Linked DNA regions of Pelodiscus sinensis. The protein of the gene in region 1 purifies or fractionates together with the protein of each later gene. This does not show direct contact. Links are inferred from orthologs where the notes say so. Each region holds a gene or a part of one and is shown on either strand. Other genes may lie near its edges. The genes, in order: CAMK2D and WDR76.

Region 1 (11,941 bases):
AAGGCTTATTGAACACTGCCAATTTAGCAAGCTAAACAAAGAGAACCAGTCACCATGTGGGAAATTCACCTCTGCAAAGTGCCTTGTATGTACCCTGTGCATTGGGATGAAGTACATTTTTGACATAGTATATGGACCATAATACTTGCAATAGAATTGGAAGCAAAAACTACTAGCAATTTCAGAAGAGCCCTGAAAAAACTAGCTCTGTGAAAGTTGCCTGACGAATGACAAAACTACTGTATTTGTGCAAATTTGAACAGACAAAGCTGGACAGTTAGTATGGTCTACCCCTATACACTTACATCCACTGAAAATATATCGTGTATACACACAGATATGTAAGGAAAATGACATGACCACAAGTTAGTATCCAGGTTTAAACTTTAAATCCACAAAAGGAAGGGAATTCGGAGTTGAATTCTTTGGTACCGTTAACGCAGAAATCCAATATATGTGCATGATGTTACACTGCATACTACGCTCTCAATTTCCTTGGTAAAATTCCATTTACATTAACAGAATTCACCACACATCAATTTGGTCCTGTATGTGCTCCAAAGTCTAGATAAATCCATGTAAAAGAAGTGAAAATTAGAAGCATTTACTATGTGCTATGCTCCTTTTTAGGCATTTGAGGCAGACTCTTAAAATTTACTTTAATAAAGTGTTCTGTTTCTTCACTGTAATACACCTGAGTTTAAGTTTTTATATATTTAAATCATATACGATACATACAACCATAATTTATTAACAATCCAGTGATGACAGTCTCTTATGACTAGAGGGACTTTGTAAACATTTCTCTGTTTTAATGTCAATATTTTGGTTGTTTTTTATTTTACATATCTAAACAAACTGAAAAAAGTAATTTAAAATCAAAATGTATTTAAATAAAAATAGTTCTGTCAAATAAGCTTTCATTTATTTTCATACACCCCCATTCAAAATAAGCCAAATCCTAAAAAGCAACACTCATTAGAAATATGATTTTATAAATCTAGAAAAGAAAAAAAAATCTCACACTAAGATTCTGAAGACGAAGAGTAAGTGAAAAGTAAACTTTTACACCGTTACGGAGTTGAAAATAAGATTATATCATACAAAAGGTGTTAGAGCAGCATTAAAAGTTATAGCTCTGCTACCATATATTAGCATTCTTTGATTTCATTAACTCATTGCATATGAGTGCTGTTACTATACAACACTCTCCTTGTATAAATCGTAAGCCAAGCCACGCAAGAAGGTTTAGACGCTGACATTGTTTGTTTACTCAATTTACATGCTCATCACAGGGCCAAAAATTCATATGAAAATAAAGATAATGTTATGTTAGCAGAAAATAATCCTTAATCCCTAACATCCTAGTACAAGCAGGTTAGTGTGGATTTGCCAAAGAATAAGTATGAGACCTATTTTCAGCAGTCCTAACACAATACATAGTTTATTTAATGTTGTTTGTTTAATGTTGTGTAAGCACAGCGCCACTGACAGCGTGTATACATGCACACAGCTACACAGTTGTAATATATACCCACATTTACACCACATAAGGAAAATAAAATAAAAGGAGAAAAAAAATGTGTCCATGAGAGAAATAACAGTACAAATGCTTCACTGAAACATCACTACTTGGTACACAAATAGTTACTTCATAAAATGTCTACCCTGTTACACATCATCTTCATTTGAAAAACTGTATGGGCAGCAGATCAGTTTTTTTCCCTAAAGGCGTTCACTGTTAAATATGGCTTGATGAATTATGTTCTTATTTAAATACAATGAAAGAATGAGATTCAATTAAGCTTTGACCTATTTCTTTTAATAAAAGCTACAGGAGTGCGTTCTCAAAAAATACAAGAAAATAACATTCCAAGCTCAAAATCACTCACAAAAAGCTTTTAACAATGCTTTGAAATGTGTATGTCTTTCCTTTTAGCATGGCAGAACAGTAATCTCATATCTAAGCGTTGCCAAACGTTATTCATCAACATGGAATATCTAATCAGTATGTTAGAGAAATGGAAAATATAAGGAGAAAAAATAAAATGTCTCCTGAGTGTGTAAATGCTTAGATATACTACTAAGCCAAAAACAAAAAAAAGGGGGAGGGAGGGGAGACTGGGGATGAAGACAGGGAGACACAGACACAGAAAACATTGGGTTGAAAAATACCCACCTCTAGCAGACAGCTTTTTGGTGTTGATAATTTTGGCAGCATACTCTTGTCCTGCAGGAATTTTCACACATCTTCTTACAACTGAGAATGCCCCCCTGAAAACCAATAACCAGACAAACATCAGCACAGGAGCTATAATATTGATAATGATTCTAATAATGTGAGTGTTTTAACTGATTTGATTGAAATGCATATTGTGGATGTAAGAGACAGGCAAATGAGCACGAAATGGCAATCATTATTCATTTTATAGACTACAACAATTAACTGGATTTAAAATATAAAAGTGACCACAAGTCACGGTAAGCAGTTTTAATATATGTCCAGAAAACTGTAAGTGATGGTATTTACACACCAGAAACTTGCACATTTCACTGTTCCTCGACTCAAAAGCCTCAACTGCTCCCTGACTACATTACAGTAATCAAACCTGTTAAGTGTAAAAAAACAAAACCAAACCTGTGTAAAAATTACACCTCCGGCTTTGTCAATGTGGCTATTATATTTAATTAAATTTAAACAGAGCTCATTCATGTGAGTAAGAAGTGTATCTTAATGAACACAGCGCTACACAGGGACATCCTACTCCTTGCAGAAAAGGAGCATTTGAATTACACTGCTGTTTACAACATTCTCCATGTTTTTGATACCAAATGGTATCCCCACAAGCCTTTTCAAGTCATTTACATAACAAAATGACACACCAATGAATTCTCAATTTAAACAGAAAGCAAAAAAAAAACTGGAGAGTAGAGAATAGTTAATTTCAAGTATGAACAATACACAGCCATCAGCTTGTGTGTGAATAATGTATGAATGTCTGGATATATTTTTGAGTGTCTACATAAACCGGGCAGCTTTTCTGACCATGGGCAGAGCTCTCTCATCTACCTTGGGTTTCTCTTACCCTAGTGAGAATGGTGGCCGTAAATCCTGAAGAGATGATAGATGCAATGTGACATTACCAGCAAGAACAACAATAATTCTTCACAAATAACAAGAGGACGGGAGGGGAGGGTCGCCCTTCCTCCCCATTGGAAGTACTGGATGCAAGAGATACTGTACATCCAGCTGAACTTTCTGCCTCAATAAACGTAGCACCTAATTGTATCAAGTATAAAACAGACAAGCATGCAAAGCAAGCTAGGCAGCTGTGTCTAAAAATTATGCATTTATCCTTTAGATTCGTGCATGGAGCTGAATCCTCCCTCCCCCTAGGACAACTCCAACTGCAGAGCTTAGCAATGCAATGAAGACTCCTTTGCAAAGGATCTGAGGCAGCAGCCACCACCCCCATTCCGAACAAAAGCCACAACTTTGCCCAGCCGCAACCTGTCAAACCACTTCCCTTGCTCCCAACCGAAATCCCCCTCCTCCCCTCGACCCCTTCCCCCACCGCGGCGCTTACTTTCCAAGCTCCTCGAAGAGCTGGTACTCGTCGGTGAACCTGGTGCAGGTAGCGGTTGAAGCCATCATGAGTCCAGGCTGCTCCTGCCGGTGCCTCGGAGGCAGAGAGGGACTGGGAAGAGGGGGGCGGACCGGAGGCGAGACGGGAGAGAAGCCGCGCTTCTTCTCCTCCCGGCGAGTCGGCGTCACCCTTGCTGGCTTCTTTACTTTCTTGTTGGATAGTCGGCTGGGGCTGGGCGGACGGGTGGGGCGCTCCACGCCGCCGGGCGAGCTGTCCTTGCCGCTCGTCCCTCCCCTAGTCCTTCTGCTTCAGTATAAGCCCCTCAAAGGTCGGGCTTGGAGAGGAAACGGCCCGCGAAAGGGAAACCAAAACCAGCCGACAGGCAGCGCGGGAAGGCGAGAGGCAGCCCAGCCAGCAGTGACTAAGAATAAAACAGCTGGGCGGCTGGTGGGAGGAGGAGCGGGGAACTGGAACCCCGCAGCTGCCCCGGTCCACTCCGCCTTTGCTCCGCGCGGGGCTGGGCCCTGACCGCGGCAGCAGCAGCCGCCGGCCTGTGGGGAGCTCTGTGCGGCTCGCCCGGCCGCCGCTACAGCCAGCAGCAGCGCAGCGCTAGGGTGGGGGGAGCAGACCGAGCAGAAGTAGTAGCTGGAGGTAGCGGAGGGGGGGGGGGGGTCTTTCTCCTCCTGCGGCAGCTGCTTCTGCCGTCCTCGTCTCCCTCTCTTTGGGGCACGGCTCCCTCTAGCGGTGCGCAACACGTGGGGGGGCTGCGAGCTCTCGGGGGGCTTTCCCCCGAAGACAGTCTCTGCGGCCACTCCCTCGCCTTCCCAAGGAGCCTGGCCGGTTCTCCCCTAGCAGCGTTCCCAGCGCGGCCGCCGGGCACGAGCAGCGGGAGAGGAGGAGGAGGAGGAGGGTGAATGTCTCACTGAAACACAGCGGCGCTCCGCTCGCCGCGGCGGAGGCTGGGCGTGAGCCTACCCCAGGCAGGAGCGGAGGGGAGAGCTCAGTGGCGGGGCTGCTTTGTGTACCGGGAGCCGGCTGCCAGCTCCCCGCGCGGCGCGGCTCGCTGCAGCAGCTGCACAGCCTCCCCGCTGCCAACGAGGCACGTGGGCTTAGTCCACAGCTGGAGGACGTTCCGCCTGACCTCCGCCCGCGGGCTGCCAGCTGCGCGCGGCCCGCGCAGGACCTCCCCCTAGCCCACCGCACGCGCGCCTGCCTCCGCCCTTCGCCGCGTTCCATTCCGAAGCGTCATAATTGACACGCAGCCCGGGCGCGTTCCAGGCAGCCTCCTCTAGGGCAGCGCGTGTTGCTTCTCGCGAGACTTGGCTCTAGGTTGGGGCGGGGCAGGAGCGAGTGAGCTAGTTAACACCCCCGCCCCCGTCTGGAGACGCTCTCTGCTCTCCAGCGTGCGGTGGGGCGCGGGCTTTAGCGCCGCTGCAAGGGAGGCGGGCTTGGCGTGATGCGTCCGCGTGGGGAGAGGTCTCTGCCTGGGGGCGCCAAGCGTCTTTCCTCCCCCCAAGTCTGCAAAACCGCATGGGCGCTTCTTTGTAGCTTTCCCAGCTTCAGCGACTCACTCCTCACTGGCAATCTGGCTTAGCGCCCGGCGAATTGCAGTAAATCGCTTCTGAATAAATGTGCACAGCATCCTGTTTTCAGCTTCATTTTGCCACCTTGTAATCCGGAGTTGTACATGGTGAAGTGTCTGTACACCTCCGGCTGCAGGCATTTAATGGTGTATTTTATTTCTTCTTGGGGGGGGGGGGGGAATCAGCCAGAACAATTCAACCAATTACTAACCTGGAAGGCTGGGGGAAAAATCCGTTCTTTGCCCATATGGAAACATTCTGCTGACCTTTTCTTCAAACAGCTGTGTGGTTTAAAGTAAAAGGTTCGGAAATGTGGCTAGTCCCAGGAAGGCGCAGAAACAGGCAAACTATTACTAAATATCTTTTAAACTTTTATTAAAGGGCTTTGTATAAAATCATAATTTATCAATTTCTTACATACATAGGCACCAAATAATTATTAGACTGTCCAATAAGCAAAATGCAATACAGAGAAGAAAATTCTTTGAGGTTTCTCTAAATCCCAATAGTTGTTAACAAGGGACTAGGGATTATTAACAGTTACATTTACATCAGTCTTACTTATAAGACTAATCATTTATCTAAAACTTTTAACACTACTACTTAACAATACCTCTAAACAATTTCAGATAACAATACTTACATTTAACAGACACACAAACTACAACAACATATTTGGTATTTGTTATGTTTGGTATACGTTACACTCTACAGGAACTCGTTTGGTTCGGTGAGCGGGAGGTGGCCCTCGGGTGATCAGTCCTCGGACCTGGCTCGTATTCCGCCATCCAATGTTTATTCGGGATTCCTCAATTTGATACAGGAGAGGAAGCTGTTTTATAGAGAAAGCTTTTGTGCGCTTTTTGTGATAGGCTAGCTGTTAAGTGACAGGAGTAAGGGGATGAGATGGTTTCCTGTTTTTCCTTTTCTGCCTTATCGGACATGGCACAACCAGCATGAACTTTACATGAACTTTTTGGGTCTGGTTTTGGTTCCTATTCGTCGCTGATCTTTAAGTTACATAGTGTAAGGGTTTTCATCAAGGGGAAGTTGACCTTTTGCTTGGATGGCAATACGCGCGAGAGGCCTGGCCAGCAAAGAGCCTGCTTTCACAAGCTGGAGTGCCCTGGAGCTTTAGAAAACAGACTTGACATTTGGTGGAAAGATGGCCCTTGTGTCAACGATGTCCTTTTTGCCACCTCATGACATTTAGCCCCAGTTGTAGTTTGTGCATGGTCAGCAGGGACTTAATTTTAGTAGCAAGAAACTCTGAAGAATCTGGCCTCATTCAGCATGCTCTGGCCAAACCCTCCCAGCTGATTGTGCTACTGCTGACTAGACTTAGGAGGGTGTTTAGCTCGCAGAGCCTGAGCATGCTCCATCTGCTCTCAGTTCTGGGTAGCGGGACTGTCCGGCTGCGTCTAGACTGGCATAATTTTGCGGAAATGCTTTTAGCGGAAAAGTTTTTCCGTTAAAAGTATTTCTGCAAAAGAGCATCTAGATTGGCACGGGTGCCTTTGCACAAAAATTGCTTTTGCACAAAAACGTCTGTGGCCAGTATAGACAAGATTTTGCACAAGAAAGCCCCGATTGCCATTTTGCGCATCTGGGCTTTCTTACACAAAAAATTCCTTCCCTGTCTACACTGGCCCTCTTGCGCAAATACATTTGCACAAGATGGCTTTTTCCCGAGCAGGAGCGTCAAAGTATTTGCACAAGAACACTGATAATCTTACATTAGATCATCAGTGCTCTTGCGCAAATTCAAGCAGCCAATGTAGACAGCTGGCAAGTTTTTGCACAAAAGTGGCCACTTTTGCGCAAAATCTTGCCAGTCTAGATGCACCGTCCGTTTATACATTAACACAACATGATTCAGGTTACAAAGTTAGGCACTCAAAGTTAGGAAATGTCACTAAGGTTAGTGTTCTTATTTGGGCACAAAAGAATGGGGTAGAGAGGTCTATGACTAACATGCTTGTCTATTATTAAAGTTCTTAGGCATCACTTAGGTACAAATAATAATACAATAGAGTTCTAGTTAATGATAGATAGTAATAAAGACATGGTTATAAGATAATTAAAGATGAATTTTAATGGCATTAGTTAAACAGGAGGTTAAATGATCTAATGATCCCTTCTGGTCTTAAACCCTCTGAACCTATAAAACCTCCCTGCCCACTCAGGATTATTAAAATACCAGACTATTAACCCCAGCGTCCTGGCCAAATATCAAGTACAACAATGATTTTCTAGATGAATGAGGCTAGGCTGAGCAGAATTAATTTCACCTCTCTTTCTCAGTTCTTTCCCTGTTTGATTAACAGCAATTGCTAATTACCTAATCAATGGAATTAATAATATACACAGACTGTGTCTAGACTGGCAAGTTTTTCCACAAAAGCAGCTGCTTTTGCAGAAAAACTTGCCAGCTGTCTACACTGACCGCTTGAATTTCCACAAGAACACTGACTTCCTAGTGTCTGAAATCAGTGCTTCTTGCGGAAATACTATGCTGCTCCCGTTCGGGCAAAAGTCCTTTTGTGCAAAGCTTTTGCGCAAAAGGGCCAGTGTAGACAGCTCAGATTTGTTTTGCGCAAAAAAGCCCCGATCGCTAAAATGGCGATCGGGGCTTTTTTGCGGAAAAGCGCATCTAGATTGGCACGGACACTTTTCCGCAAAAAGTGCTTTTCCGTTAAAAGCATTTGCGGAAAATCATGCCAGTCTAGACGTAGCCACAGTGTTTAAAACAGCACTATTTAAATTCTGATAAATCCACATTACATGTTGACTGTAAAATTCAATTTGCGCCTTGAGGTTAAAATATTTAATGTAGGGTGTCTAAAAGTTAGCCAAAATTTACATTTTGGCTTACATGTGTAATAAGAACCTAAATCTCCCACTAACACTAAGCAACCAAGTTACAAAATCAGGGCCTACAACCCCTATCTTGTCTATTCACTACAAGAGAGAGTTAATGTAGTTTTTGTCTGCAGTGATGCAAAGAGCACAGAATCCACTTTGGAGTTATGTTTCCACTGGATGAAATGTTCGTCAGGCAAAGATGCCGACCCCAAGGTTCATTTTGTTCTCAGCACAAAGGAAGAAGGTGTGGCCTTTGTAAACATAAATATGACCAGGTACAAAACATTTGCACCATGTTCCTTCACCCCAACATTGCCTGTTCAGCAGAGAGTGTAAACAACTGGGCTGCGTCTAGACTGACAAGTTTTCACTTTTGCGCAAAAACTTGCCAGCTGTCCACAGTGGCCGCTTGATTTTGCGCAAAAGCACTGACGTTCTGCTGTCCAAAATCAGTGCTTCTTGCACAAATGCTTTGACATTCCCATTTGGGCAAAAGCCCTTTTCCGGAAATGTTTTTGCACAAAAGGGCCAGTGTCGACAGGCAGCTAAGACGTTTTGCGCAAAAGCAGGTTAAACGGAAAAAAGCCCTATGGATGCTCAGAGGCTCCGTAGCCACAATCAGCTCTCGGACTTCCTGGTAATCTGATCCCTCTTAAAGCAGATGCAGGCTGCTGAGGTCACCAGGCAGGAGCCCTCTGGCCACAGCTCTGCCACGTGGCCTCTGCTGTCGAGCAGACACCCCTCCAAGCATGATGGCAGATCCACGTGGGGATCAGCCACCCGCCCCCCCAGCACAGGAGGCCCCCAGGGCCAGAAAGAGATGGGCCCCATCCTGGTCCCCGGGGTAGCTGGAAGCCCTCCTGAACCTGTGGCCCTCCACGAGACCCGCTCCTGGCGCCGCAATGCCAAGATCTTTTCTCGCATGGCCCAGGTGCTCACCCAGCAGGGCCATCCAGCCCGGACCCTCGAGCAAGTCCGGGCTAAAGAACTGCGCCTGGGCTACGTCCAGGCCAGCGAGGGCCAGGGGGCAGGAGCCGACACCTGCCCCCATTACGAACAGCTCCACACCATCCTGGGCGAGCCAGCCCCACAAGCCCTGGAGGTCCCCGTTGACAGCAGCATGTGCCCCCCCGTCACCAGGACCACCGAGACTGGGGAAGGAGACAGCAGCAGTGCATCAGAGGATGAGGCCGGCACTGCCACCCAGCAGGCTCCCTCCGGCAGCTCTGACGTCTCCCGCGCATCCTCGGAGGCGGGGAAGGATCCACTGGTGCGTGTTGCACTTTGCACTCACAAGGACGGGGGGGGGGGCGGGTGAGAAGCCAGGCGCCCGGAGGGAGGAGGGAGAGAGCATGTCATCAGGCCACGTGACCTGCATGCTGTGTAGCATTAGGCAGTAAGCAGCACGTGTAACCACGTGCAGCCTGGTGACCGAGTGGCATGTGGCCGCGGCAGGCAGCTCCAGGGCACGCCTGGGACCGTGCTGCTCACACGCATCCAGCGGGACCAGGGGAAAGGGTAGGTGCCGGCTGGAACCAGCCAGGGCCCCAGGGACTCAGGCCAGAGCTCGCACCTCCGCAAGGGTGCAGCACGCAGAACAGCAACACTGTCCCAGGCCTGGCTGTCAGGCACAGCCAGCTGCTCCTGGGAAAACCGCAGTGTCACAGCCCTGTGAACGTGGCCCCCACTGAGCTTCTCGCCTGCTCCTGGTGCCTTGGCTGGCTCCCCAAGGGAAGGCCCCACTGCGGCCACACATGTCCCTGGGCTACATGTGTGAGGGATAGTGTGAGGGAGAAGGGGGGGAAGTGCTCGGGCCACCCCTAGGGCCGCCTGAGTTCTGCTGCAAAGATGGGACACCCCTCCCCCCCCAGTCACTCTCCTGGTTCCGTCCAGGGGATATCCCACGCGATGGGGATCTGAGAGCCCAGATCACGTCTGCCAGATGTGCTCCCAAGCACTGTGTGGGGATTCATCTCGCTCCCTGTCAAACACCATTGATTGGCCCAAAGCCTCACAGCCTCCACCAGCAGGGAGTTCCACAGGTGAACACAACACAAGCGCCCTCCCACCCCCCAAGGAGCCAGGACACAGACCGGTGGTTACAATACATGGAGGAGGACCCTACTCCAGGGGCAGTCCTCTATGCAAACATACAACACGGGGGGGCAGAGGGGTAACCGAGTGGGCCCAAGCCACACTACTGTGGTGTCACCTGGGATCAGGGGTGGAGGGCGTGAGGTGTGGGGACAGTGGCTGGGCTGCCTGACTGACCCATCCTTTCTTTTCTTCCCTGCAGCGGGACCAAGCACAAGCCAGGGACCCTCCAGTCTGGCAACAGCAGCACCCCCGGCCGCCCACCACCAAGGCAGAGGCTCTGCCACCAGGACCAGCTCCTTTGGTGCCACCTGCAGGCTGGCAAGCGCGTCGAGGCTGCCATCACTCGGCGCATGGAGGGGGACTTGCAGTGGCGCCAGGAGGCCTGGGCCGCCTTCCAGGCCCAGTGTGAGGATGGCCGACTCCATCACCACCCTCACTGCCCACATTGGCCATGCCATACATTGTGGCATGCCCTTGTCCCACGCCCCCGCCATCCTTCCCCTAGCACTGCGCCTGCCCCTCCTGCAATGGCCCCTCCTGCTCCTTTCCCTACCCCTCCTGCCCCTCCTACTCCTGCCCCTCCTGCCCACCTCCCTGTGCAGCCTGCCCTGATGCGGCCTGACCCCCATGTCCAGGTCTGCCCTCGCAGGAGCGGTCGCAGGGGCCACCCCTCCCAGGAGTAGCTCCTCCCCCTCCCAGTTGAAGGTCTTCTCCCCCTCTCCCTCTTGTAAATAAAAATATACAAGTTTTTCAGTTGAAAACCAAACTGTGTTGTTTTTTATTGGGAGGTAAGGGGAGGGGAAGGGGAGGAGATGGGAGGGAGTTGTATGGGGAGACCGAGGTGACCCTACTATGGGGCCTGTGCGAACATGCCCGTCAGGGCCTCTCAGATGTGCACCCCATCCTGGTGCGCCTGGTGGATGGCAGCTGTGTGAGGCTGTTCGTAAGTCTGTGCCTCGGCTGCCATCCATGCGGGGAGGAAGGCCTCCCCGCTCCGCTCCACAATGTTGTGGAGCATGCAGCACGCGGCTAGTACCTCCATTGCATTCCGCTCACCCATCTCGAGACGGGTGAGCAAACAACGGAAGTGGGCTTTTAAGCGGCCGAAAGCGCACTCCACTTGATTCCGGGCCCGGTTGAGGTGATCATTAAACCGGACCCGGTTCTGGTCCAGCCGCCCTGTGTAGGGCCACATTAGCCAGGGCAGCAGGGGGTAGGCCGCGTCCCCAATGATGCAGATGGGCATAGGCACATCCCCGACAGTCAACTCCCACTGGGGGAAGTAGCTGCCCGCCTCCAACCTGTGAAACAGTCTGGAGTTGTGGAGGATGCGGTCATCATGCCCTGCCGGACCAGTCCACATACACGTCCAGGAAGCGGCCCCGGTGGTCCACGAGGGCCTGGAGAACAATCGATTAGTACCCCTTCCTATTTGTGAAATGTGCTGCTCGAGGCTCCGGGGCACGGATGGGGATGTGGGTTGCATCCAGGGCTCCCCCGCAGTTGGGGAACCCGAGGGCAGTGAAGCCGGCCAGCATAGCATCCACATCGCCAGGCGGATCACTCTCGGAAGCAGGACATCGTTGATGGCGTGGACCACCTGTAGAAGAGTGCAGAGAAACACAGGGGAACACATCACATAAGGCAGGGGTGAGTGTGTGCTCCCTTGCTCCCCCCCTGGGATTCCCTCTGTCCTCACGCACGCGCACACGCGCGCACACACACACACACACACACACACCAGGGCCCCCTCGCCCCACGCCCCTCCCCTCCCCCACCAGCAGGCCTGTGCAAGGGAGGGACTGCCCA
Region 2 (12,649 bases), on another chromosome or scaffold:
AACAAAACCCAAAACTTTGAAATCAGGAAATGCAAACATAAGGTTGCCCGTGCAAGCTTAACTCTCACCTCTTTAAGAAATGCCTGAATACACCCTGAAAACACACGTACCTTTACTTTATTAACCCAACAGTTGCTGAAATATACAAACTGAATCGGTCTTTCAGGCTTCCATTCTACATCATAATCTTCTTTTATATCACCTTTCATACTGTATTTTATTTTATTCTTATTCCTCTCCACACTGTAGCTTGTTTTCCTGTTTTTGCTTAATTATAGCTATTCCTAATGTTCCCCTTTATCCTTTTTTTTTATTTTTTTCCTCTCCAGTCCGTTTCCCTTCTTTCCATTATCAGGCTGATTTTTTCCTTCTTAGCCATCAGGTTGGATATCACACTAAATGACTTCAAGATCCCTTCCAGCCTTACATTTCTATGACTCGACAAGGACAAGATGCTCTTGAAATCTCACTGAAAAAATAATTATTACTTTCATGCTATTTTCACCAGAAAGACAGTCATACTACTATTTTTTTTAAAAGATGAAGTACAGAAATACACTAAGTGAAAATTTACCAATGGAGAAGTTACATGGATAGTTTAAGGTAATTGGTGGTCTAGATCTGAATTTAAATGTGCTGCATGTACATATACTAAAGTAAAAGTAGCAAAAATGTTGGTGTGTTTCTCAGATATGGTTATTTTACCTTTTGATTCCATGAGATTGTCTTTTGGTTGCTATTTCACGAAGTCTTGAAGCTGACTTGAAAGAAAAATGTAGAAATATAAGAAAAATAATCAGATGAACAAGTGTTTAATGGTTTTGTGAAATACAGTTATGAAAACTAATGATTATGAGGTTTTCTGTGTTCATTCTCTCTCAATTATCTGACTTATTCAGTTTACCAGTCATATCTGCCTAACTTCCAATTCTACAAACTAAAGAGTAAACCTGCAACTTGAACTGTGTTGTTTCTGTCTTTGTATTTGCAAGTTGTTACTCCCTAGCAAAAAAAATAAAATAAAAACAAATTAACTGAATTCTGGGGCATCTTGTGACACACAAGAACAGAATACTATCTATCTTGGTATTCTATGGCTGTATTCATCTTGCAGTGCTAAGGAAAACAAAATCCTAAACAAGAAACACCAGAGAAAATGATTTGGCAACTGATTTCTGTTCATACACACAAAATGAGAAATGATTATCCAAAAGTGAGTACTGCAGAAAGGGATTTGGGCTCATAGTGGACCACAAGCTAAATATGAGTCAACAGTGTGACACAGTTGCAAAAAAAGCAAACATCATTCTAGGATGCATTAGCAAGAGTGCTGTAACACACAAGAACTACTTCTTCCTCTCTACTTTGTGCTGATTAGGACGCAACTGAACTATTGTGTCCCGTTCTGAGGGCCACATTTCAGGAAAGATGTGGACAAATTGGCAAAAAGTCCAGAGAAGAGCAATAAAAGTGATTAAAGGTCTATAAACATGACCTATGAAGGAAGACTGAAAGAACTGGGTTTGTTTAGTCTAGAAAAGACAGAGGGAACATGATAACCATTTTCAAGTACCTAAAAGGTTGTTACAAGCAGGGGACGAGGGGAGAGAATTGTTTTTCTTGACCTCTAAGGATAGGATGGAAGCAATGGGCTTAAATTGCAGCAAGGGAGGTTTAGATTAGACATTAGGAAAAACCTCCTGTCAGGATGGTTAAACAATGGAGTAAGCTGCCTAGGGACACTACAGAATCTCCATCGCTGGAGATTTTTAAGAGCAGGTTAGAGAAACGCCTTTCAGAAATAGTCTCGATAACATGAGATGTGTCTGTCTCTTCACAGAATCCATAGGACTAGAAGAGATCTAGCCAACTGTTTATAAAATATACTCATCAGTTGCACATCTAGTGTAAGACTCAAAAGAAGATTGGTAGATATAAGCGCTATACTATCAGCAGTTTTACTCACAAAAATTATCATCAGTAGAGGACTTGAATTAACATACAAATGCAAAGATAAAGAACAATTTGGAAGAGAGCTGAATGCTTGTTCACTGTTTCGTTTCCTTAGACATACAGAACTCTAGAGCAGTTTGTGTGCACAGGTAGGTGTCCAATGTGCCAGATGAAATTGGGGAGGTTAAACACGTCTCATGCTAGCTCCTCAGAAACAACTAGAGGGATTTTCTCTAATCACTCTGTGCTTCTGCACCTGGGACTCAGAGCCAGCTCTGAGTGAGCAAAAGAGTGGACTTCCAAGGAAGAAAGTTACTTCTTAATGCCAAAGAGTGGACCTATGAGAAATAACAGAACAGTACACAGGAAAAGGAATATGGAAAGGAGAAAAAGAGTATCTGTGTCTGTCGATAACATTAAAAATGTCACAATCTTAACTTGTTTGGATTACTTCTTCCAATGCATAGACTGCACTTGAGTACTTTATAAATATTAATGAATGAAATCCCATTCAAATTAAAGTCCTATCAAAGAGTCTGTGTAAAGCATAATCTGATCACTGATATATCATTGCAAGTCAGCTGTGTTATGAAATTTTTATGCGTTTTTTTTAAGTGTCTGGTGTAGGACACTGTTAGAGACATATTTAATAACTAAATGAACTATGGGTGAGTTTTGGTATGGTAATTTCTATTACATTTAGAATGATTATTTTGGTCTTATTCTAGGCAGACATAATACAAACCTCAAGCAGCTTTAGAGAAGCAAAGAAATTAGCATTTTCCATAATGTTCTTCAGTCTTTTTCTTTCATAGGCTGACAGCTGTGAAGATCCATCCTGCACCAAACAAACAACAGTAATAAAGACAGTACACAAACATTTAAGACAGTACACAGAGTGCATTAAGAGGCCTGAAGTGTTGAGACAATACTTCTCTGTATAAAGTTACATGGCCTCTTTTTCTTTAAATAAAGAGACAAGATTTTAGGTTCCAAGCATCTCTTATAATAAATTTTACTTTAAGGAGTACTTGATATTTCTCCATTTCCAAACAAGTGTAAAAATATGAATTGGGAGGAATAAGAACAAAACATCACACTCACTAGACAGTACAGGTTGAATCTCCTAAATCTGGGGCTCCCTGGTCCAGCAGGATCACAGATGTTGCTGGATCAGACAACTCTAGTACCCAGACCCCGGTGGGGGCAGCCACAGAGCCCTATCCCCGGGAAGCCCCAGCCAGGCAGGACAAATAGGGCCATGGCAGCTGGGGAGCTCCATCACCGGAAAGCCCCAAACAGGGCCAGAGCCGAGCCCAACCCCTGTCCCAGCAGGGCTGGAGCAGAGCCAACCAGAGGAAGGGGCAGTGTCCTGTGAGGCCGGTGGCAGGGGAGCTCCCCTGATCCAGCAAATTCCCTCATTCAGAATAGGTCAGGTCCCAAAGGTGCTGGACCAAGGAGGTCCAACCCGTAGTACTTTAACAGAGTTCAATTAGCGTGGTCAGTCACTAGCAATTTGCATTTTGCCCTTAATACAAAAAGAAGCTGTAGAGTCCTCATTTTACTGTACTGCAGAAGCATTCTCTCTGCCCCCCATAAAGATATACAGTCACAGGAAAGAATAAAACAACACTAGCCCCAAAGACTGATATTTAAGGAATTACATTTCTTAAAAGCACACCTGCTGAACTTTGAAGAGCTAAAGAAAAATGTGAGGGAGCTAGTCAGTACACTAACTTCAGAAAACCTTTATTAATTTCATGTAGCAACAGAAGCCAAGATGATTTTGTATCAGAATAGGAGTGTTTTATACATACAGCTCAGACACACACTTAGGGAGTTTTAAAGATTGTATCAAAGTTCTTTATGGATGTTAAAATTATTCAATAATCAAATTAATATTACACTGATAAACAAGAAACGAAAACATACAACACGAGGCAATTATATACACTGAAGAGTGTACAAAAATACCAGTGTTAGACTGTCTTATAATAGCTGTCTTCACTATTGTGAAGAGAAAAATTAATTGACTCCTTTTCAGAACTAAAGGTAACTAACTTTTTCATAAGAGTGGAATTATTCAGATATACTCATAAGCCAAATACTGGCTGTAAATGGAATAAGCTGTGTGCTATTTCTTGTCACCTTACAAAATAAGGGAAACATGGTACATTCTGAAAACCATTATTTGGATTTCCAATGCACTTAGGAGCCCTCGTCATGGACTAGGAACCCATTGTGCTCAGCCCTCTACAACTACAGAACAAAAGGCAGAATTAGCTGGAAAGAGCTTGCAATCTAAGGGTAGGACTACTCTTGAGGAGAAAAATCGATGCAAAATATGGAACTCCAGCTATATAAATTGCATCGATTTCCTGGCACCACACAGAGGGAGGTCAACAGGAGAAACACTCCCCTTAACTTCCCTTACTCCTCAAGTAAGGAGTACAGTGGTTGACGTGATTGACTTCAGCGTTTAATTTTGCAAGTCTTTACTAGACTCTTTAAATCAGGGGTGGGGAACTTCAGGCCCATTCTTCTCATATGTTACCAAGTATTTTAACATTAATTATGCTAAGTAAACAGTAATATTTACCTACAACCAATAAAAACAAAACTATATATATTGGTAAGCCAAAAATCTAATCCAGAGGGCAATGTAAAAATGAATAATTCGTCTTGAATAACTATGAAAAAACATGATCTTATTTTTCTATCTTAAAAAAATGAAGTAAATCACTGCATTTCCTTAAAAACAGCAGAATTTTATTCTCTGATGTTTTCTAGGGAGCAAACAGTTCCTTATAGATAAGGTCATCAATTCTTGAAGTTTCAAAATGTGAAAATTTCAAAATGTGAAAAATGCCAAATAGGATAAATGGAGGGCTAGGCTAAGAATATATTGAAAAAGTTAAGAGGACAGTGGGGCCAAAAGACTCTCTGGTCCCCTCTACACCCCTGGAATGGGTGGAGCCTCAGGCAGAAGAGGCAGGGCTGGGACTAGCTTCCCTCAGACAGCCTCAGTGTCTCTCCCAGCATGCCATGCCTACCCCAAGCCTTTTTGATTTGCCAGGCACCAGGGAAGTTGCCCCTTTTGCTTCTCATCTCCCTTGGCAGGTGTGAAAAAGTACATAGTCACTAAAATAGTCAGTGTTTGACTTCTTACCAGATAAGAGGTATCCAAATTGCTTCCTTCATGGTCTGTGTCCCCATTGGTTTCTGAATCACGATCAACCATAACTGAGGTGTTTGTGGATGACACCATGCTACTCTGATTAGGAAGTGAAGACGTATCGGGGATTACTTCTTGTGGACTGGAAGAAGCCTTGTAGGATTCATCTCTTATTTGCAGACTTGTGAGATCATCACAGGATTTTTTGACTTTTGGTTCTCTTTCTGACGAGCCCTCATTACTAGAAAACTTTTCCAGTAAGCGTTTCTGGGGCAGACGTTTGTTGCATTTCTCTCCTTCCGTGAATAAGGGGGTGAGAAGAACTTTCACTTGTTTTCCAAAAACTGCTCTTTTTTCAGCTTTGTCTGATACATAGCTCATGCTGGGGTTTTCTTTCGGTGTACGCTCCTACACAAATGAAGTGGAAAAAAAAATACAAAGGAACACTCTGCTAGAAGGCCGCTCCTGTAACTGGTCTCCAATCAGCTGACTGCACATAACTAGCCCCGGGAACATTTTAACAGCAGCGCCCAGGGCAGGTTTCTAGAAGTGGGGTGACTGTTAGTCTGTAGCTTTGAACCAGGGCTCACAACCTTTGGGGTTTCCGGGCACCTGGGGGGGGCTCCCGGGGACACACGAATGGCTCGGGCTGGCCCCGGTGGCGCCGTGTCGGGGACCGCTCTTTAAACCCAAGGAGCATGCGGGGCGCCAGCTGCTCTGCAGGGGAGACGCGTAGGCAGCCCGGCAGGGGGCAGAGCCCGCGCGGCGCCGGGACCAGGAGCGCGGCTGCTGGGGACGCCAGACGCGGCGCGCGCTCCTTGCCCCCGGGGCGGGGCCCTCACACCTGGCGCGCGCGCGGCCCCCCCACCGCCCGGCGCCGCGCTCGCGAGCCCGCATCCGGCCCGCGCCCGGCGGGCTCTGCCCCCCCCCCTCAGCAGGAGCCCGGACAAGGGGGGGACTTGGCCCGACGGGGTCCGGGGACGGGGCCCAGAATCCCCTCCCCGCCCCCCCGCGCGGCCGGCCCGGGCACCCACCTGCTCCCGCTGCCGGGCCAACGGCTCCTCAGCCCCGGCGCGCGGCATCGCCTCGGCAGCGCGGGAGAGCGGCGGGGCGGGGCCTCGCTTCCCGCTGAGGCAAGGGGGCGGGGCCGCTCCCCTCAGGGGGCGGGGCCGCTCGGATGCCCCGCCCCGCCCCCAGCAGCGGGGCCGCACGTGGCCCGAGGGCTGCTCGCTCGAGCCTGGGCGGGTCCGGGGCGCTCCCAGCCGGGTTAACCGGTCATACTGCAGCGCACAGGAGGGGAGTCTGTTGAGGAAAAAAAAGGGGGAGGCCAAAGTTGAGCAAAAAAAAAAGCCCCCCCCCCCCGAGAATTATTAAGCAAAAAAATAAATTAAAAATAAAGCAGCATGGCCCCTTTAAGACAAGCCTTTGGGGGGCGGCAGGGGCGGGGCTGAGTGTTGTAGGGTTGCCAGGTGTTTGGTAGTTTCGCTTCCTGGCAGGGGAGAGGATCAGAAAACACCGGACATTTTAGGTGTTGGGTATTTTCGGAATTTTTTTTTACCAGACAGGAGGCAAAAATACCGGCCTGTCCGGGTCAATACCGGACACCTGGCAACCCCTAATCTCAACACCCCCTCTGCCCCCCCCCCCGTATCCCAACCCCCCCACCCCAACCCCCTGCATCAGCCCAGGACCACACACACATCCGAACCCCCTGCCTCAGCCTAGAAGCCCTCACCCCAACCCCCTGCCTCAGCACTGAGCCCCTCCCAACTCCGATTCCCTCGCCCCACCTCTCTGCTGGGAGCCCCAGACACCTCGCCCCACCCAAACCCCCTGCCTGAGCCAGGAGCCCCACCCAACTCCGATCCCCGTCTCACTGGCATCCCTACCCCCTGCCTAACCCTCAGAGCCCCCACCCTGAACCCTCAGTCCCATCCCCCAGCTGGGAGCCCCTTCCTGCAGCCCCAAACCTCTCATCCCCATGTGCCCCGAGCCAGAGCCCTTACAGTCCCCATCCTAATTCCCTGCCTCAGGATATTACCCACACCTGGAACACCTCTTTTCTGGCCCCACCCCATACCCTTTGCCAGAGGTCTCACCCCCTCCTACACCCCAACCCTCTGAGCCAGCCTGGTGAAAATGAGGGCAGGATGGAGCACGCACACAACAGGAGGCAAGTGTGTTCATTTGTGTGTCAGTAGCAAGTTGGCAATTCTAGCCAGAGGCCCAGGAATGTCTTAGCATACACTCAATAAAATCAAGCTGGAGTAACATGCTTCTGCAAGCACATAATCCTGTGGTGATTGAGATGGATTAGAAAGTAAGCATTTAATGAGGGAGGAGTAATAGGTAAAAATAATGGGATGAAATGTAATCAGTGGTAATGGCCAATCAGACTAGAATAGCATGGCACCATATGGGTAAAAAGCACATTGCCTGGCTCATTCAAAACCTGCCTCAGTACTGCACTGGAAAATGTAGGAGTTGAGTAGAGATCAGGTGAGGGACTTTACTATCCTCAGCGGGTTAAACAGTGTTGCCAGATGAGGATGGAAAATAGGATGTTTGTCGTCATCTCATTGAGAGTCTTAAATATTAACTCCAGGGAAATATGAATGAGAACTTCTGGCAATGAAGGACAGTAAGTAGTTGTGACGGCACGTTGGGGGTCCCCTGTCTCCTGCACCCCGAAATGGCACAAACAGACTCCACCAGCCGGTGGAATAGAGGAAGTTTATTGCCTCTCCAGGTTACAGCACAGCACAGATGTAATCTGGTCACAGAGCTGGGCTAGGCTGCCTCAGGCCCCCTTGAGATGGGGGAGACTGGGCCCCTAAATTCCAGCCCCTTTCCCTAGGCTGTCTCCTCCATGCTCCCAGCCAGCAACTAACTAACCCTCTTCCAGCCCTGCCCCCCAGCCAGGGCAGCATTCCACCTTCCTCTGTTCCTCTCCATGGGGGGTGTCTGGCCATACTGGTTTGCATAGTGACTCATCCTGTTTTGCTGGGTCGTGGTACCCACAGCAGCCAGTGGGGGTTACCCCAGAGCCAGCAGCATAGAAACCAGCCAGGTACCCCCACTACGTCACAGTTGTCTCTTAGATTTATCAGATTTTGGAAACATGAATCCACATCATTTTGATTTGAGTTCGGAAACTCACAAGTGGGCAAGGGACCCTTTAAGTAGACTCTTCCCTTCCTCTTTGGAAATCTTCGAGAAGGTAATGAATGGGTCCTTGCCAAGGAAATGCCTGGTGTTCTGTACAACTGAAGTGGGGGTTGGTTTTTTTTGCTTGTTTAATGTGCATGTATGACCAGTGGGAACACAGGAAGTATATCTATAGTACCACATATGTTGGTCATCTCATTGAGAATCTTAAATATGGGAATTTCTGTGTTTTTCCATTGCCTAGGAGAGGTGGAGAAGTCCATGTAATAACCTAGGTAGGGTGGAAGTGAAGCCAATGTATGGGAAGAAGCCTATGCTGACAAACTGGAGGGAGTTCAGAAAACAGCTTTGATTAGCAGTATGAAAAACCTGCTTTAATGAAACTAAAGAAAGATCTATTTAGTTTATCAACAGAGAAGATTAAGTGGTGACTTGATTGTGGTCTACAAGCATCTACTCAGAGAGCAGAATTTACCAAATGTTTTTAAAGCTAGAAAACAAAGCAAGGAATTAAGTTAGACAAATTTAAACTAGAAATAAGAGCAGGAGAGTCTGAATAGTCCTTTCTGATCTTAAAAATCTCTGAAGCATTTAAATAACTGCATAGGGGTGAAAGGCAATACCTCCACACTTGATAAATTGCACTACATGGAGACTGTTCAGCTCTCAAGAGGACAGAGGGTTTTCTGAACCTCTGCAGGAAAGGACAGCACAATCCAAGATCCAAAGAATGCCCTTTGTCATACACATAGGCGCTGTATGAGCAGACCACAAAGTTTCACACACATTCTAGACAAGGCCTTCAGATAACCCAAGGGGCTGCTAAACCCAGCAGACATGGGGAAATATCCAATACAATCAAACAGAAGACAGCTAAATCTAACACCTAAAACTAATACTCGTACTGAGACCTAGATTTTGTGTAGAAAACAATTCAAGACCATCTAGCTGACCTAGAGTTAATGAAGGATATCGTCCTTTGTAAGTATGGTCAATGAGGTTTATGGCTCCAGCCATCACAGCTGGTAAATGGTTTTGAGCAACATCACATAGTTGTGTGTGTGAGATCAGAGAGGCAGTGCTCACAGAAAGCACTCTTACAATGATTAATCACTAAACTTCTGTAAAAGTGGTGGGTAACCTGTGGCCTGTGAAACATAGTTTGCTATAGCCCATGTGCAGGGTTGCCAGATTTCGCTGGCTTTTGTCCACATCGCTTTACATGCCTATCACTGTAGTAATACTTGGAGGGAAAAAGCTAAGGCGCAAGAAGTGGGTTTTTCCTCTCACAGACTAACTGACTTCCCCCTGAAGCTTTTACTGTGTCTCTGAGGTGCCATAAGACGTGGTATGTGATCACTTTACAAGCCATCTGGTGCGGGGCAAGAGGAGAGAAGTGGGCTGTGCCCACGAAAGCTCATGGTACCATCTACATGTTCTGTTATTCTCTAAGGTGCTGCTAGACTCTTTGTTGTTTAAGTTTTTCCAGCTATAGACTAACTCAGCTACCCCTCTGAAGCTTTTGCACACAATGTAGATTGTCAGAGCAATGTACTCCCTTTGCACCTAGTCAAAGCACTGCTATGGTTCAGTTGGCACACCCCACAAATTCTAGGTACGCAAGCTCAGTTAACAAAACTGCCCCACCATGGAATACCATTTTGGTTACAGCAATCTTGCAAAATCAAAAAGGAGTCATAAAAAGTGCAAACTAGATCAAATGACAAAGGATGAATATAAGCAACAACACACGTATGCAGGGGCAAGATTAGAAAGGCAAAGGCACAAAATGAGCTAAAACTAGCTAGGGGCATAAAGGGAAACAAGAAGATATTCTATAAATGTATTAGGAGCAAAAGGAAGACCAAGGACAGTATAAGCCCATTGCTCAGTGAGGAAGGAGAAACAACAAGAGGAAACTTTTCACCAAGAAGTTTGATGATGAAGGGATGCCTAACATGGAAAATGCTAGTGGAAATGGGGTAGGTTTAGAAGTTAAAGTTAAAAATTACTTAGAAAAGTTAGATGTCTTCAAGTCACCAGGGCCTAGAATACTCAAGGAGCTGATAGAGGAGGTGTCTGAGCCTTTAGCTATCATCTTTGAAAATTCATGGAAGTCAGGAGAGATTCCAGAAGACTGGAAAAGGGCAAATCTAGTGCCCATCTATAAAAAGGGAAACAACAACCCAGGAAACTACAGACCAGTTAGTTTAACTTCTGTGCCTCGGAAGATAATGGAGCAGGTAATTAAGGAAATCATCTGCAAACATCTGGAAGAAAATAAGGTGACCAGTAACAGCCAGCATGGATTTTTAAAGAATAAATCATGTCAAAGCAATCTCATAGGATATCAAGTCTTGTGGACACAGGAGAAGCAGTGGATGTGGTATACCTAGACTTTAGTAGAGCTTTTGATACAGTCTCGCATGACATTTTTATCAATAAGCTAGAGAAATGCAACCTTGATGGGGCTACTATAAGGTGGGTGTGTAATTGGCTAGATAACCACTTAGAGCAGGCATGTCCGAAGTCCGGCCTGCGGGCCAATTGCGGCCCGTGTTCCGATTTAATACAGCCCCCGCTTCCTCCCCCTCTCCTGGCTCCCCGGCGCTCTTTTGAACTGGCGAGCCCAGCGCGCCGCTTCCGGCCACGCCGCCGCCCATGGCCTCCGCGGTCCTAGAGCCTGCCCTGTAGGGCACGTCCGCAGCCCCGCTCCCCCGCTCGGCTGCAGGTTCGCCCTGCCCCCTGGCCGCCATGAGGCCAGCGTGCCCTGCGCTCTCCGCCCGCCTCCGACCCTGCGGGCCCTCCGCCTTGGGGCTGAGAGTGCGGGGACGGCCCTGACGCATGTTCACTTCTTCAAATCTGGCCCGCTTTGAAAAAAGTTTGGACACCCCTGACTTAGAGAGTAGTTATTAACAGTTCACAATCATGCTGGAAGGGCAGAACAAGTGGGGTTCCTCGGGACTGTTTTGGAACCTGTTATGTTCAATATCTTCATCAACGATTTAGATATTGGCATAGCGAGTGTGCTTATTAAGTTTGCAGATGATACCAAGTTGGGAGGAGTTGCAAGTGCTTTAGAGGATTGGGTCAAAATTCAAAAAGATCTGGACAAACTGGAGAAATGGTCCAAGGTAAATAGGATGAAGTTGAATAAGGACAAATCCACTTAGGAAGGAACAATCTGTTTCACACATACAGAATGAGAAGTGACTGTCCAGAAAGGAGTACTGCAGAAAGATCTAGAGAGTCACCATGGACCACAAGCTAAATAGGAGTCAACAGTATGACAGTTGCAAAAAAAGCAAACATGATTCTGGGCTGCATTAACAGGAGTGTTGTGAGCAAGACACAAGAAGTCATTCTTCTGCTCTACTCTGCGCTGATTAGGCCTCAATTGAGTACTGTGTTCAGTTCTGGGCAACACGTTTCAAGAAAGATGTGGAGAAATTGGAGAAGGTGCAATGAAGAGCAACAAAAATGATTAAAGGTCTAGAAAACATGAACTATAAGGGAAGACTGAAAGAATTGGGCTTGTTTAGATTGGAAAAGAGAAGACTGAAAGGGGACTTGATAGCAGTTTTCTAGTACAGTAAATTCTGTGTTATCCGTCACTCAGGGATTAGGGCGTTCCGGTTATCTAAAAGTTCCAGTTATCTGAGGGTCCCGTCAACCTAGGAAAAACCAATGGACAATAATAGTAAAACTCAAGTTTTTAATACAGTAATTCCTCATTTAACACAATAGATGCATTTCTGAAAATGTTTGTGCTAAGCAAAAGCATGCTATGCAGGGTCAATTTTCCCATTAAAAATAATGGAAAAGGTGGGGGTTGCATTTCAGGTGGTGATAGCGAAGTCAATTCTGTTTTGGTGCTGGGTCGTCAATGTCAACATTAGATATCTACCAATACAAGTCGCTGCAGTTTGTTAAAACACACAGATAAACACGTGAATGAGGAGAGGAGCACTGTGACCACGTGAATTCATCCACTCATGCGTCTTACCACTGTTTTCACCAACTTATACCACCGAGCAAAGCAGTCCGCCACTTGATTATTTTCGTGTTATTTCGGGAAAGGTCGTGTTATTCGAAAAATGTTCCCTAAAAAAATTGTGCTACTGCGAAAAAGTGTTAAGCAGGCACATGTTAAATGAGTAATTACTGTATTGGTAGTTTTATAGTGTGAGGCAGTTGGTCTCTCATTTCTATTTTGAGTTAAAGATGATTAGTACTTCTTAAATAAAAAATTAAGCCAATCATGGTAAACCAAGCCAGGCCTGAAAATGTGACAGTATTGTGGCTGGGGGCAATGCCAGTTAAAGTTTTCTGGTTAACAGAGTACCAGATAAC

What was found.
Region 2: the proteins of CAMK2D (region 1) and WDR76 purify together in Homo sapiens (affinity purification with mass spectrometry; 3 studies listed by BioGRID and IntAct, counting the BioPlex papers as one, with this or other methods). This does not show direct contact. The link is inferred for Pelodiscus sinensis from reciprocal best matches to the Homo sapiens genes CAMK2D and WDR76.

What each region holds. Positions count from the first base shown.
Region 1 is NC_134715.1:32,403,377-32,415,317, forward strand, and holds the start of CAMK2D (calcium/calmodulin-dependent protein kinase type II subunit delta), read right to left. Parts: upstream 4,899-11,941; 5' UTR 3,656-4,898; coding exon 3,588-3,655; intron 2,275-3,587; coding exon 2,180-2,274; intron 1-2,179. UniProt on the Homo sapiens protein: Calcium/calmodulin-dependent protein kinase involved in the regulation of Ca(2+) homeostatis and excitation-contraction coupling (ECC) in heart by targeting ion channels, transporters and accessory proteins involved in Ca(2+) influx into the myocyte, Ca(2+) release from the sarcoplasmic reticulum (SR), SR Ca(2+) uptake and Na(+) and K(+) channel transport.
Region 2 is NC_134724.1:294,287-306,935, reverse strand, and holds the start of WDR76 (WD repeat-containing protein 76), read right to left. Parts: upstream 6,320-12,649; 5' UTR 6,211-6,319; coding exon 6,163-6,210; intron 5,537-6,162; coding exon 5,123-5,536; intron 2,792-5,122; coding exon 2,699-2,791; intron 762-2,698; coding exon 706-761; intron 1-705. UniProt on the Homo sapiens protein: Specifically binds 5-hydroxymethylcytosine (5hmC), suggesting that it acts as a specific reader of 5hmC.